Linked DNA regions of Elephas maximus indicus. The protein of the gene in region 1 purifies or fractionates together with the protein of each later gene. This does not show direct contact. Links are inferred from orthologs where the notes say so. Each region holds a gene or a part of one and is shown on either strand. Other genes may lie near its edges. The genes, in order: NUP214 and NUP88.

The links.
Region 2: the proteins of NUP214 (region 1) and NUP88 purify together in Homo sapiens (affinity purification with mass spectrometry; 6 studies listed by BioGRID and IntAct, counting the BioPlex papers as one, with this or other methods). This does not show direct contact. The link is inferred for Elephas maximus indicus from reciprocal best matches to the Homo sapiens genes NUP214 and NUP88.

The regions. Positions count from the first base shown.
Region 1 is NC_064827.1:82,068,657-82,076,173, forward strand, and holds the start of NUP214 (nuclear pore complex protein Nup214), read left to right. Parts: upstream 1-4,189; 5' UTR 4,190-4,310; coding exon 4,311-4,355; intron 4,356-7,026; coding exon 7,027-7,222; intron 7,223-7,517. Other genes in the region: AIF1L (allograft inflammatory factor 1-like), read left to right, coding at 355-442. UniProt on the Homo sapiens protein: Part of the nuclear pore complex. Has a critical role in nucleocytoplasmic transport.
Region 2 is NC_064837.1:15,089,246-15,097,385, reverse strand, and holds the start of NUP88 (nuclear pore complex protein Nup88), read left to right. Parts: upstream 1-5,015; 5' UTR 5,016-5,060; coding exon 5,061-5,351; intron 5,352-7,929; coding exon 7,930-8,099; intron 8,100-8,140. Other genes in the region: RPAIN (RPA-interacting protein), read right to left, coding at 141-252, 1,724-1,784, 2,809-2,979, 4,078-4,158. UniProt on the Homo sapiens protein: Component of nuclear pore complex.

The DNA.
Region 1 (7,517 bases):
AAAACTGTCTCCTAAGCAGAGCCATGGCCCAGCCTTGCTCAGCCTACACCAGGCATTGTGGGCAGGGGAAGGCACATGGCCTATGCATCAGAGGTTTGGTGTCTCTTCTTGCCCCTGCCTTGGAGTACCTATGTGGTTCTGCAGAGTAAAGTCATCATTTTGCACCTGTTTTCTCCTCTGTACAATGGCCCTAGCAGATTGCCCTAGGCTTCCACAAGATCCCACTGGGAAATGGATTTGAGGGGCATCTGTTGAGGCCCGTAGACTTGAGGGCTAGATGATCTTTCCCTGGATAGGGGAAGAAGTCCTAATCCTTTTTTTCTTTTCTTTTGTTTTTCTCCATCTCCAAACCAGAGTCATGATGTTTGAAGGAAAAGCCAATGAGAACAGCCCGAAGCCAGTTGGCCCTCCTCCAGAGAGAGACATTGCCAGCCTACCCTGAGGACCCTGCCTGGACCTGCCCCTGCCCTACCTGGCCTCCCCGCCCCTCCTCCTCTCTCCACATCTCGCTGGCCTTCTTGACTCATTGTGATTTGTCTTGTTTGTTTGTTTGGTCATTGCGGGTTTGTTTGTTTGTTTCATTGGACAGAATCAGTGATCTTTTTGTAAAGCACAAACTACCTGCCTTAAAAGGGCTCTGGGTGGTGGAATCCTGAGCCTTCAGTCCCCTCTTCACCCATCCTTCCATCCTCCCTCTGCAGAAGAGCTGACATCAAACCAAAAACCACAGGGACAGGGGAAGGGCCAGAGCCAGGGCAGGGAGGCTGGGAAGGCTCTGGAGTTGGGACAAGGCTGCAGGGCCTTGTGAACATTTCCTCTGGCCGCTCTGTGTTTCCAGCGTTCTTGGCTTGGCCCAGCTTCCTGCCGGCCACACCATGGCCTACCACCCCAGCTGCTCTCCACTCAGTCTGTGCTTCTTATCCTCAATGAGGGTTCTCAAGGAGGCGACTGGAGGAGGGGAAGAGAGGAGTTTGGCAATTTGAGCCCTTTGAGAAGGTACCGGAAGGAGCTCTCTGGCCATGCCACCAGCAGCGACCACACTTTTACAGGCAGTTTGGAGGGCAGGTGCAGCTGCACAGGCCGGCCGTTGCTGGAGCAGGAAAGGGCTTTGGAGGGAGAGATGGGGCCAGGGACCTTAGGGGAGGGGTCGCCTCAGTCTAGTCTCTTTTAGGAAGGATGCTGAGGGCAAAAGGACAGGAGAATCAAGAATAAAATGTTCATGGCACAAAGAGTCAACCTTACTATTAAACCAAGAGCTACCTTTCTGACCCCAATCTTCATGAAACCTGACTACTCTTCCCCCATTTGTCTTCCCACCCTACTCACACGATTCACTTATTCATTCTACAGATATTTATTGACCATCTGTTACGAGCTTTAAGTCCTTCCCCTTTATCCTGACATGTGCTGTGTCCACTGTCTCTCTAAATCATCTCTCCTTTTCCAAATCACCCAAAACCTTGAGTTTTGGAATTGGATTGGGGATACCTTTGTTCTTTATTATAGACTCACAGGATTTAAGAGTCCCAATCCACCCTGCAGGTTAGCTGGGCAGTCCTCCCATGTCACAGGTGAGAAAACCATGTTTGGCCCATAGAGATTAAGTGCCTTGCCCAAGGTCAGGGGGTTAATTTGGAGATGGAAGGGTCTGGACCAGAGCTCAGGTCTTCTGATCCCCTGCCCACACCTCATCTCTGCTCTGGAATCCTCAGTTAGTTGTGAAAACAGGGAAGGATTGGGGAAAGGTAGTCTCCTAGGTCAACATTTGGGTAAGATTTTCCTTGCCTGGAAGGCCCTGGGCCAGGATTAACTACCCAGCATTTCCAAGTCAGCATCAGGGTCTGTATAAGGCCTGGGACTGCCTTTACAGTTCTGGTGCCTGGTTCTCAGAACACATGCAGGAAGATGTCAAACTTGGCCACTTCTTGGCTGAGCAGGGGGTCTCAGCCTTGATACCACCTGTGCTCTGCAGTCCCTTATCTCTCCCCATGCAGGACTTGGATGCACTTATTCATTGAACGTATTTATTAAGCACCTGCTATGAGCAAAGAACTAAGAATCCAGCAGTAAAATAGGACAGACTCATGGAATTGTGAGTCTAGTGGGGAAGTCAGACCCAGATAATAACATGAGAGATGAATGTTAGGAATGGGGGATACAAGGGTAACTGCCCTGCAGTCCTGGGGGAATGAGCTGGGCCCAAGACTGGAGACTTGGAGAAACCTTTGCAAAACCTAAAGTAGAAAGGTCTGGGGGCTGTTGGAGCCAGTGCGGGCTCCCTGTGGCTCCTTAGTGACCCATAATCAAGGGCCCAACGTGCTGCTCCCTATAGTAGCTTGAGAGGATAAGGGAGGAAGAGGGTGGGGAAATGGCCAGGTTAGATTAGTCCACTGGTCTCAACCAGTTCAGGAGCAAGACTATTTGGCCATGACTGGCTGATCTTCAGCCTAAGAAGCTGCTTCAAATGCACAGGCCTAGTCGAAGTTTAAACCCCAGTAAAACACTCCACCCTGTAAATGTAAAATCCCACCTCTACCTCCTCTGCCTTTTTTTTTTTTTTTCCTGAGATCAATAGATTAGCAGCTACCTGACCCCAAGGCTTCTCACTGCCTGTCCTCTTTGGGCAGGCTGGGACCTTTGAGCAAGGTAAAGCCTTCCTTACTACCCATCATATTCAGTGTACCCGTTCCTCACTCACAGAGAAAGACAAAACTAGCCAGGCTTATTTCAGTGGGTTCCGCAGCTTACAAGACCGAAGGAAGCCTCCTTAAGGAAGGAAAACAAGCTGGTGTGTTTCCAGCTTCTGGAAAGGGCCGGAAGAGGGGCTCTCTCATTGGATGGGGGGGTACCTTGGGAAACCCCATCAGTTCCTTCACCACTTCTTAGAACTCAACCCTTGGTGGAAAGGGTCTCAAGAATGTTTCTCGGACAAGGGGCCTGCATGTATTTCAGGTTGTGGCTATTGGCTCTAGGATACTTACTTCTCTGGCTAGGGGCTCAGCTTCTTGGCGCTTCAGCTGTCTTTATTTCTGAAAGACCAAATCTATCTGTAATGTAACCAGCAACTTGGGGACTGCCAATTATGGCTTTGTCCCTATGACTCAAAAGGAAGGAGTTTGTTGGGTAAATCCAGGTGGATGAAGTATGTGTGTGTGTGTGTGCATGTGAGTGCGTGTGGTGTGGGATATCATCTCTACAGATTGGAAATAAACCAGACAAACTTATCGATGTCATGATTGGTTTATTTTTAATACAGTTCTTTAGCTCAGCAAATTCAGAAGAGCTAGTTAACAGATTAAAATGTGCCAGACTTATTTAACCCTCACAAAAACCTCCGTGAGATAGGTTCTGTCATTGTCAACCTCTTACAGATGAGAATTGGGCTTGGAGCAGATAAACAACTTACTGCAAACCTGATAGTGGTAGAATATCCTACAGCATTTATAATTCCATTACAAAAAATTTCTTCTACAACAGGGCTGTGTAATAGTTATCAAATTCAGACAACATGAATTCTAATCCTACCTCCAACACTTTCTGGCTGAGGGGCACTGGAGGAATTTTCTTAACATCTCTGTGCTTCAGTCGTCTCATCAATTAAACGGCAATCCCAGGTGGCTGGGATGTCTTGACAATTAAATAAGATAAGCACAACTAAAGGGTTTTGCCCAGAACTCAGCACAAACTATTTTGTTAACGGAGATAGATACGGCTCTTCAAAGGAGTAAACAAAGCTGGTCTTTGGTGCCCTTTTTCAAAACGGACTTTTGTGACAAGGTTCCATCCACCTATTTTCTGAACTTCTCTTCCCTTACCCTGCCCCACCAAAGCCTCTCTCAAGAGCCGCCCCTGTAAATATTTGTCAAGTCCCTGACATCTCTGCATCGGGAACAATAACCACCTACATCGAAAGGTTACTGTGAGGTTTCAACGGAACAAGGTGCTTGCAGCGCTCAGGCGTCAGACGCCGAACGAGTAACTCCAACCCTAGGCGAGACCGTAAGCGTGGGGGCGGAGTCAGGACGCTCCAGGCGGCAGGCGTGCGGGCCCTAGGGCCACGCCCCCACTCGGACTGAACTGGCCAATGGGAGGTGGCAGTCCGAGGAGCGCGCGGCTTCAAGTCTACCTCTAGTTTCCTCAAACACTTAGCGGAACAGGACGCGTGACGTCATCAAAGCGCGCCGGAAATGCGAGTTCAGCTGCGCGGTACTGTCCCTGAGGGAAGGAAGTTGGCCTCGGAGCGGCTTGTGCTCTGTGGGCAAGGCCCAGGCCGGCAGCAGTAGCTGCTTCGACAACCTGTGTGCGGCGCGATGGGAGACGAGATGGATGCGATGATCCCCGAGCGGGAAATGAAGGTCAGATACTGGCCAGGGGCTCCCTCCCTTAGTACTGGCGTTGCCTTGGAGCCCCGCCTTCGGCTTGAACAGGTTACGGCGTTCAGAGTTCTCACTGGCGTTGCTCTGGAGCGCTCTGTTGTGCCGCTTGCGTGGTAGCCCCACGGAATGAGCTTCCCCGGTCTTTGTTAGTCTTGTGCATTCTTCTGGAGTTATCTTAGCTGCTTACATGTGGTAGTCTGAGTAGTGGTAATAACTGTTTATTGAGCGTTTATTGTGTGCCAGGCACTGTGGTAAGCATTATCTCCCTGAATCATCACCGCAACCCTATAAAGTGGTTGTTAGTATCCCTGTTTTACAGAGGAGAAAATCGAGACCCGGAAAGTAGCTTATCCAGTCACATTTGACAAGGGGACTGAAGTCTAGGTTTATTTAAGACACTTTCTTCACTGTCACGGTACTACTTCTGTAGGGCGGTCCAGACTTGCTTAACATAGAGCCGAAGATCAGGCATCTTACAAAACCTTTAGGTAACTGGCATAGAAGGGCTATTTTGGCGCAGCACATCAGCTTAAGGTCAAGAAAAGGGGAGAAATAAGTGGTCCAAATGATGGTAAAGTTGGAGAGTGCGGGGGTAGGTCCCCAGGATGGTTGTGTTTGACGTTTCTTATAAATTTTCTGATAGAACGAGAGTACAGAGAACAAGCTACATTTCTTTTACATAGCAAACGGCTAAGAGGAAATAAGTTACAGGAAGATTTCAGGCATTCATGTGAACAACAAATCCCTAGGAAGCATTTACCCACCCAGTGCCCTCGAGTCGTAGGGATAATGATCCATATTTAGAGTAATGATTCTTACTTTTTCTTCTTGAGAATCACTGCTGTGGTGAGCAACCCAGAGGGAATGTGTCATGTTCCTCAGATATGCTGGAGCAGAAGAAAAGAAAGGTTTTAGGACCACAGCCTTAGAAACGATAGTCTCCCTTTGAGTTATATGATTGTAACAGAAAGGAGAGTTCTCCTGTGCTTCTTCATCCCACTGGCCTACTGTACCCATGTGATTAAGACCCAAATAAAAAATTTAGGATTATCAGGATAAGAATTACAAAAATGAAATTTTTATTCTCCTCCTGTATGAAACTATAGTGTGGTCTCATCTGAAAAGCTGTGTGAATTTCAAGGTTTCCAAGGAGTGGCTGGTGGATTCGAACTGCCAACCTTTTGACTAGCAGCCAAGCTCTTAATCACTGTGCCACCAGGGCTCCTAGTTGGAATTAAGAAAGAGTATTTCAGTTAATCTTTTAGCAAATATGTATTAAACACCTAACCCAAGGAAACTAGTACGTGGGTTGTGTTGGGGCCATAGAGTTGGTTCCTACTCATAGCAACCCTGTGTACAACAGAACTAAACACTGCCTGATCCTGTGCCATCCTTATGATCATTGTTGTGCTTGAGCCCGTTGTTGCAGCTGCTGTGTCATTCGACCTCGTTGAGGGTCTTCCTCATTTTTACTGACCCTCTACCCAGCATGGTGTCCTTCTCCAGGGACTGATCCTCTTGTGGGGTGTGGAAAGGATCCTATATGAAACTGTATAAGAATCCAGTGTGGAAAAAAAATGAAGGCTGAGAAAAACTGTCCTTGTTTTTTACAATTTTGGATTATAAGCATAAAGTTGATTTACTGAGGCCTTGACTTAAAGACAGGCTTAGAATTATATTAAAAAAAAAAAAGTGTGTGTGTGTGTGTATATATATATATATATATATACCCACAGTGTAGTTTAACATAGTGATTGATAAACTTATGTATCTCTTATTGAAAACTTAGATAAATCCATGGAAGACAGGTGAGTCAGACATTGGCAGGAGATCAGGGGAGGAGGCTCCCAGGCCAATTATTTATGTCTAAAGGCCTTAAGGTACTAAAGAGCATGAGGACTGAGGGAAATGGGGTGGGGGGGAGCAGGGAAGGTAGCTGTAGCAGTGGTGATAGTGCATTTTTTAGAGGAAGCGGAGATGAGACTACAGAGGTAGAGGGATCAAGCCATGCTTGACCTTATAGATTGTGTTATGAATTTTGGTTTTGTGTTTTAAATGTTCTCATAGCATCTGTGTTTTGCTTAAAAGCATTGAGCTTCAAGAGATTGTCCATTTCCATTTTGTGATAGAATGCTTTTTTGGCATATGATATAAGTAAGCCAATTCTTGGGCTTTGGTCATCTTCTGTCATCATTATTTCAATATATATTTGTTGACTACTACACTAGAAGTTAAGAGTTCACTGTAGTTAGGTGATACTTTCAATATTTAACAAGTATTAAGCTCTACTCTGGGTCTGAGACAATATGCACTTAACATGACAGGATAAGATTATAAATAATATAGTTTGTGGTGATTCGAAGAATAAATACAGTAGGAATTCAGAAAAAAGAAGAGATCAGTGTGAGCTAGATTAGTCCAAGAAAAATTTCATGAAAGTTTTCTCTCATTTATCTCATTTAACAAATATTGCACACTATGCCAGGCACCATGATAATAAGCACAAGAATTTAAAGACACACTGTCCTTAGCCTCAAGGAATTATATTCTTTTGTTGCCTTGGAATTGGGTCTCTTGGAATATAACGACAGACATAATTTTCTGTTAGCCCTGAATTTTTTTTTTTTTTCCCCTCAATCCTTCACAATAGGATTTTCAGTTTAGAGCACTGAAAAAAGTGAGAATCTTTGAGTCCCCTGACAAGTTGCCCAAGGAACGCACGAGTTTGCTTGCCGTGTCCAACAAGTATGGTCTGGTCTTTGCTGGTGGAACCAGTGGATTGCAAATTTTTCCTACTAAAAATCTTCTGATTCAAAATAAACCTGGGGATGATCCCAATAAAATTGGTAAGTTACTTGACTTATGTTGCATATTAAAAAGAAGAGTGTGGTGGAGTGCTAATGTTTCCTTTTCAAACAGTCATTTTAATATTAAAATTAAAACTGCTGTGATCCCTTCACCCCCCCAGGAAAAGTAAATTCCAGGTGGGATGCTGGGAACTTTTCTAGGTGTTCTCTTTGGTCCTTTGTATTTCTCTTTTTGATGAGTTGTTTCCCTAAGCACAAAGGAAGGAAGAACTGTCCATGCCATACTTTTATTTTTGCTTAGTTGAACTTGTGTCGTGGATTTCTAGGAGAAGGG
Region 2 (8,140 bases), on another chromosome or scaffold:
TTCACGACATTACGGTCTGCACAGACACCAGACCTGAATCCCCAAACCTTTCCTGGCAGCAAACTTGGGGGGGAAATCCCACTCACCTTGGAGTGGGGGGTAAAAACCAATAATGCTGAAAAGGTTTTCAAAACTCTTACTTTGTACACACAGGACAGATGAGGGGGTTTGCTTCCCACTCGGCCAGCGTGCTGCTGAGCCACTGTTCATCAAACTGCAAGCTCTTCTCATACTCCCTGATGATGGCCTGTTCTGCAAGGCAAAGGGCAGCTGCAGTGCTTCACCATGCTTCACCCAGAGGGCCCTGTCTTTAATGCTATGCTTCACCTTCAAGGGCTTCCTCCACAAAGAAAACGATTCAGGCAAAAACACACAACCAATTGGTACGTCTTTATTGCTCTTGGATTCCCCCCTCCCCCTCCTATCTGTCCTCTCCTTGCGAGCATAAGAGGTGAACTGAGGCTAAAGGACAAGGAGATAACTTTGACACACGTCTCCAGAGGCTACTGGGGCAGAGATGTGGAATGTCAGAGTCCTGAGAGCACCTGGGGGAAGCTGACACTACAAGGCACTTCTGATACCAGGCCTGCCCTGCTGAGTTTAAAGTGAGTGGTGCCCCTGTGGTAGTACCTGTGTTGTTCAGGATCTGTGTGCTCATTCTTTCAGCAACATGCACCAATACCTAGTACGTGGTAGGCACTGGGTGACAAAGATGAAAAAGACTGGCCCCCAGCTCTTGATGAGCTCACAGGCGAGACTTTAGCTGACACTACAGGGTGCTTACTTCTGACACCAGCCCAAGCTATCCACTGATTGCAAACTTACCCACACCAAGCACTGCTTTGAGTCCTCTACACAGGTTGTTTCATTTAAGCCTGATAACAATCTTGTAGGGCAGGTCTATTACCTCTATTTCGGGGATGAGAAAGACAGCCTAGTAAAGACAAGACTCTGTGGAATAAATGACTTAATTGTATGAGGTGCTAAACCAGGCACTCCACACAGTGCTATGGATGCCCCAGGGAGTAGCTGTTCACAGGACACTGAGGAGTCAGTAAAGAATGGATAGGAAAGAAGGCACTTAAATTACATCCTGTGAAGTGAGCGGATTGCTATTAACCTATACTAATACACAGGTACAGTAGGACAGTGCAGTAAACACCAGAACTGGGTTCACACAATTGATTCTGTTTCTCAGCTCCACCACTTGCTAGCTGTATGACCTGGGTAAGACACTTTCTTCTAATACTGTCTTGTAGGGTAGTCATAGGAGAAGACAATATAATGGAATGAGATGCTCTTAGCACAAGGGCTAGCACACTGGAGACTCTTATTATTGGGAAGACAGACAAGTCTTCAAAGTATAAACAGAGACTTCTGGACACTAGACTGAATATGGAGGTAAAGGAGCAGGGTTAAGAACCAGGCTTCAAACTGGTTTGTTCCAGTTCAAATCCCTGTCGAGAATTTGTATTTCCATTCTAGATAGACTGAATCCGAGTCTACAGTTTAACAAAATCCCAGGTGATTCTTATGTACACTAAAATTTGAGAACCACTGCCCTACTAGTGGTTTTCAGAATTGGTCCCTAACCAGCAGCATTAGCATCGCCTGGGAACTTGTCGAACAGGTTCAAAGCTCTGTTAAGAACTATCCTGCTCAAAGGAAAGGTCAGCCTTAAAGTAGCTAAATATAGGTAGGAAGGACTACCCTCAGGGGTCACCTTGGTCAATCAGCTCCTGATGGATTTCCTCAAGTACAGCCAGGTCCGTTGGCTCCTCCACCTGCAAAAGAAAGTGGAGCTCATCAGAAGTCTGAAGTCTTAATCAGTCACCAAGCCTCATGACGACTGTACTTGGAACTTGGCTTAAAGAGCCCAGACTTCCCTCAGGGGATCAGTCCCGTACTTTTGAAGAATATGCTGACAATGACGTGGTGTGGCCATGCTGAGAAACTATCAACAAATGATCAAACTACCCAGGAATGGAATAATGGCACCAAATCTGGGGGAGACAGTATATGGTAGCAGTTAAATATATGGTTCTGCCAAGGTTACGTGACAACAGTAAAGTTCCTAACTTCTGTAAACCTCAGTTTTGGCTTCTGTGAGTGGAAATAAAACCAGCCTGCAAGGGTTACTGTGAGCAGTAACTGTGCTAATGTAAGGGCAAGTATTTCACATACTCTAGGACACATAGAAGGCACCCAATAATACATTGTTATTATGTAGTACTTCCAAAGCCCTTGTCCACATTTTCTTATATAATCCTAACAATGCTGGCAACATTATCTTCTTCATTTTAGAAACGTGAAAACGAAAGCTCAAAGAGGCAGAATGAAGTTAATGAGTCAACAGCAAAACCAGGACTAGAACTCCAGAACTGCTGACTTCCAATCCAATGCTCTTTCCAATACACTGTAAATGGTTTCCTATCCATACTCAACTCCCAACCCTGGCTGAGATTAGAATCAGAAAGCTCCTGGAGATATTTTTTAAAAAGGGAGATCCCTAACCCATGTGTACTGAATCGAAATTTCCAGGGGAGAGACAAAGAATGAATGACTGTATAATTTTGTTTGTTTCATAAGTGATTACGATACTATGATGCATCAGGTCTACAGTCTGGTATTTAGAAACCATTGATCTTGAATAACCTAACATTAGAGGTAGAAGAACCTGGGTTAAAATCTGTGAGAATTCTGCCTGAGGGCTGAGGGTGGGTGTGTTTACAGGACTTAGGTAAATAGGTGCCAACTAGTAGTTCATGCTGCTGTAGCCCACCCCCTGTGCACACACCCCAGCCTGACCTGAGCCAAGGCCTCTGGATAGTGGTCCACTGACTGCAGAGCGTTCCACTCCTCTTCCATCACTTCTTGCACTAGAAGGGTGTTCTGAGCTCCTCTTGGCAGGCTGCCTCCAGCCTGGCGGTACTTGTTCAGGAGCCTGTCCCGGCTGTTTTTCATTCTCTCCAGGCATCCCTTGGAGTAAGGAGCAAGATGGGGGGGGAGGGCAAGGGAAAACAAGTTTCTCTCTTTTTAATATTCTTAGTTGTTGAAACATTAAAGACAATTTATAGACATAAAATTCCAACTACGCTATTTTCATTTTTGCGTATTCCTTCCAGTCTTGGTCCACATGTAAAAAAAGGGGAAATTACAATGCCTTGTTCATGTATTTCCAGATCGTACTTCCCAGATGTCTTCAATGCCACCTTTCTTAATGGTTGGCTGCGTAACATTTCAGCTTCCTCTTCCTATTACAGGACATTTCCAAGTGTTTTGCTACTCTAGATATGGCTGTGTTAACAACCCTCCTGCACACAGTATTTCTAACTTGGGGGTCATTTTGTCTCCCAGGGGACAGCTGGCAACGTCTGGAGACATTTTTGGGTGTCACAACTAGAGGTCTACTGGCATCTAAAAAGTGGAGACCAGGAAAGCTGCTAAACATTCTACAATGTACAGGGCAGCTCCCACAACAAGGGATTACCCCTCAAAATGTTAATAGTGCCAAGGCTGAGAAGCCCTGCTGCACACAGTTCTAGCGTCAGATTACCTTCCTGGGGTACATCCACTACTTCAGGGCGAGAAAAGGAGTATTACTCTCTGGAAACCGTGGTGAGTTCAGAATAGGTCAGAACTGAGGTGGGGTACAAGTCTGCTAAGACTTAGGAACTGAGGCTCTTCTGAGCCTCAGTTTACTCCTCTCTAGAATATAAACAATTCCTACTTCATACGCAGTACGTACACGAAGATCCTCTTTCGATTCCTGACGCACCGGTGTCGCTGTTAGTTATTAAAGGGATGAGGCCACAGCCACGTTTCAAATATGAAACAAACCCAAATCGGAAAGCAAGACTTCCTGGGACTGGGCTGGCCCGGACTAACGCCAGAACCTCCGGGTGGGCGGCTAGGCACTAGTCATCCCAGACCTACTGACAGGAGGCCCGGGTTCGAGGTCCACTTCAATGGCCAGGCGCTCCCGGCACCTGCCTCACGGAGCTACGTGAGGAGAATAGCCCAGGGATGGCTTAGGGGAGTGACTACAACCCAACTAGTCATAAACCCCACACACACCTGCCTGAAAGCCTCCTTCCAAGGAGGAGAGCCCACCACTTTGTACAGCGAGCGGTGCGGAGACTCCGGCGGCTCTGCCATCGCCTCTTCGGCGGAGCAGCCTCCACAAAGCCCCGCCCCCTCGGAACGCGCAGAATTCTGGGAGCTGTAGTTTCTGAATGCTCAGCGTTCTAGATGGAGGGCGGGGAATTCTGGGAAGTGTTGTTCTACCTGCCAACCCTACGCCGAGACAGAGTGACATTTGTGACGTAAATCCAACAACATTTTGACATTTATGAGGTAAACGAAATGTGGATTGAGCGAGAGAGAGAGGCGAATCTTTGTTTTGGATGTCTGGGTTTATGCAGGTAATAAAACCGAACCAAACCCGTTGCCTTCGAGTCGATTCCGACTTAAACCGACATTATGGACATAGTGGAATTGCTTCCATAGGGTTTCCAAGGAGCGCCTGGTGGATTCCAACTGCCGACCTTTTGGTTAGCAGCCAAAGGCTTAACCACTAGGCCCCAGGGTTTCCTCATGCAGGTGGAGGTGTCTAATAACCTGTTGCCGTCCAGTCGATTCCGACTCTTAGCGGAGTAGAACTACCCCAAAGAGTTTCCAAGAGCGCGTGGTGGATTCGAACTGCCGACCTTTCTGTTAGCAGCCGTAGCTCTTAACCACTACGCTACCAGGTGTCCAGTAGGCAGATAAATACCCCGATCTCAGGCTCTCCTCGCGCTATGAGAGTGCGCAGTACCAAACTTTTCCTAAACAGGCGCTGAGCCTGTTGACCTACTCGTCTCGCCCCCTTTTGCCGTCAGAATAAGTGCTTGACTGGTGATTGGCTCGTCTCTGGCAATGGGCGGGCCTCACTCTCGCCCCGCCCCTAGTTTTACTTTCGTTTGCTCGATGATTGGCAGCAGTAGTGGACAGCTAGCTCCGGATTGGCTGCGCTCAGCGGCGGGCTGAGCAAGTGGAAGGAGGCGAGGAGTTGGGCCAAAATGGCGGCTGCCGAGGACCCTGTGGACGGCGGTGAGCTGTGGCACACCCAGCTCCCTAACCACGCCGTGTTCCTGCGGCTCCGGGAGGGACTGAAGAACCAGAGCGCCGTCGAAACTGAGAAATCGGCTTCTTCGTCCTTGTCTTCGCCGCCGCCGTTGCTGACGAGAAACCTACTTTTCGGCCTCGGCGGAGAGATCTTCCTGTGGGACGAGGAAGGCAGCTCCTTCTTAGTCGTTCGCCTTCGGAGCCTCAGGGGCGGCAGCGAAGAGCCCTCCCTCTCCCAATATCAGGTAAGGCCAAACCAGGAGGATCTGAACTCGGTTTTTTTCTTCTCGTTCTGGGATCTTTCATCGTCTGTAAATGTGTTGTTCAAGTGTAAGCCGGCGTCGTTTCGGGGACTTCCCGCTTTAAGTGTAAAAGCCTTCCCCCTTATTTTTATTTTTCTCCAACGTGGCCACATAGCCTTTCGATACCTCAGTTTCCGTATTCTTTTAACCAAAGTTTCTGACTCCGACACGGTACCAGACGCTGTTATGGGAATAAACCAGATCAAACTCTCGCTTCTGTGGTGCTTAGTTTCTGGAAAGAAGGAAGGACCATGGAATACTCAACAAACTATCAGTGATGGTTAAGTTTTCGGAAGAAAAACAAAACAGGAAAGGGGGATAGTGTGCTATTTGGTAGGTTGGTTGTAAAAACGGCGTGGAGGGGCCATCTGATCTCCTCTGACTTCACAAGCGGGGAGAGGACTCACCATCAGCATCAGCCCAAGGCTGATCCTATGATGTGGCCGTCAGACATGCCTCCTCCCTCCAACCTTTTTACCAGTTCTGACACCTGCCTTCCCTCCCATGGCACTCTCTACTCTGCTGTGTTTGATAATTTGTTGCCGTGGCCACAGAGAACTCACAGACAGTACTCACAATTATGGGGTTTATTAGGGAAGTAACAGGTTACAATTCAGGGTCCAGTTCTTCAGGACAGCCTCTTCTCAGCCGTGCCCCCAAGCAGGCCTCTCTCTGTCCTCGGCCCTGCTCTGCTCCAGCAGTTGTTACAGAGCTCTTTAGCTCTACAGATAAGTGCCCAGAGGCATCCCACTCCACCAGCAAGCCTCTGTCCGAAGGCGCTCGGCTCTGTGGGTTGGCACACCCACTGTAACCACCTTATTTCATGGGCTGGGAAGTCCACTGCACCACCTTGTACTGGTTTCCTGGCTCTGCTGCCACCTTTTCTCTGCCCCTGCTTCTCCTTCTGGTGTTACAACTTTCTTTATCTCCTGGGTGTAGGAAGTTCTCAGTGCAAGGGACCCCAGGTCCAAAAGATGTCCTCTGCTCCTATCTTTTCCTTTTGGTGGTAGTGAAATCCCCCTCTGCTCTGGGATTGGCTCTGTTTTAAGCCTAGAAAGACAGCAAAATTGACCAATCCGCTTGTTAAGGTTCCATTCACATTATTTGCATGGTCCCACTCCACACAGGCATTCCAGGCAGTTTATTTGCGTTATTAGCAAACTGCCAATCCCCTTGGTGAGCCACAATCACCTTATTTGCATAGTCCCACCCAATCATTTGGTGGAATATACAAGACCATGGTGAGAACGGCCATATAGAAGTGATCCATCGCTTGGTCATGACAAAAGAAATAGGAAGCAGTGGCACAGTGGTTAAGAACTTGGCTGCTAACCAAAAGGTTGGCAGTTCAAATCCACTAGCTGCTCTTTGGAAACCCTATGGGGCAGTTCTACTCTGTCCTATAGGGTCGCTATGAGTCGGACTCAGTGACGGTAGATTTGGTTTGTTTTTTTTTTTTAATATGATACTGAGACAAACAGCTCATCAGAGCCCCCTAAAATCAGCTTCACTTTAAATCTACATAGTTAAAGCAGCACTTTTCTTGTTGCAGAAATTCTTGAAAGTAGTTTATATCTTGTTGTACTGTTTATAACATAGTAATTAACCAACAAAAACCCAAACTCACTGCTGTCGAGTCCATTCCAACTCATAGTGACCCCACAGGGTTTCCAAGGCTCTAAATCTCTGTGGAAGCAGACTGCCACATCTTTCTCCCACGGAGCCACCGGTGGTTTTGAACCACCGACCTTCCGTTAGCAGTTGATCACTTTAACCACTGTGCCACCAAGGCTCAGTGTAGTGATTAGCACGTGTTAGTAGTTCAAGTTCTTCATTTGCCCATTCCCTAACCCTGTACTGAGAGTTGACAGTATGCCAGATACTATGGTAAGACTGCAGAAAGGAAAGGCACAGATCTTCCCATGAAGTAATTCATAGTAGGGTGGAATGAGCAAGTAAGAGAACGATTAGAATGCAAGGTGATAGCTATAATTATGCAGAGTGCTATAGGAGCACCTAAAATGTGCTTTCAACCCTGACCTGAAGACCAGGGATGTTTCATTGTGTAGAAGGTGCGTAGAAGCTGAGTCTGCAAGAATGTGTTCAGTCTTGTTAGCCAACTACAAAAGAAAATGAAGGCGTTCCAGGAGGAATAAAGACACAGAGGCATAAGAAAGCGTGATGATTTCCCAGAAATACAAGTTAACTTTTTATATTATAAGGTATGAGTGGAGAATGGTGGAGAGTTGAGACTGGAGTAGTAGGCTGCAGCTTGATCATTGAAAGAAAAATGTAGTATTCTCTTTTTCTCAAAGTAGGGAAGTCTGATGCATTTTATATAACATTCCAATCTAAATGGTTAAAAATATTTCAACAGTTAGTGGGTCAAGTATTAGTGTTTTTCCAGAATGCTTCATTATCTTACAAGTATAGAAGATTAAAGTATTAGTATGCTTTTGAATAACTCCTACATGTATTTGTATTAAAATGAACTATTTGACCCTTGTGCTTTAATTTCCAGAGACTGCTTTGTATAAATCCACCCCTGTTTGAAATCTATCAAGTCTTGTTAAGTCCAACACAACATCATGTAGCACTTATAGGACTAAAAGGACTTATGGTATTAGAACTACCTAAAAGATGGGGGAAGAACTCTGAATTTGAAGGTGGAAAATCAAAAGTGAATTGTAGGTAAGTTGTATTTCCATTTAGTGCATATTTATATAATTTGT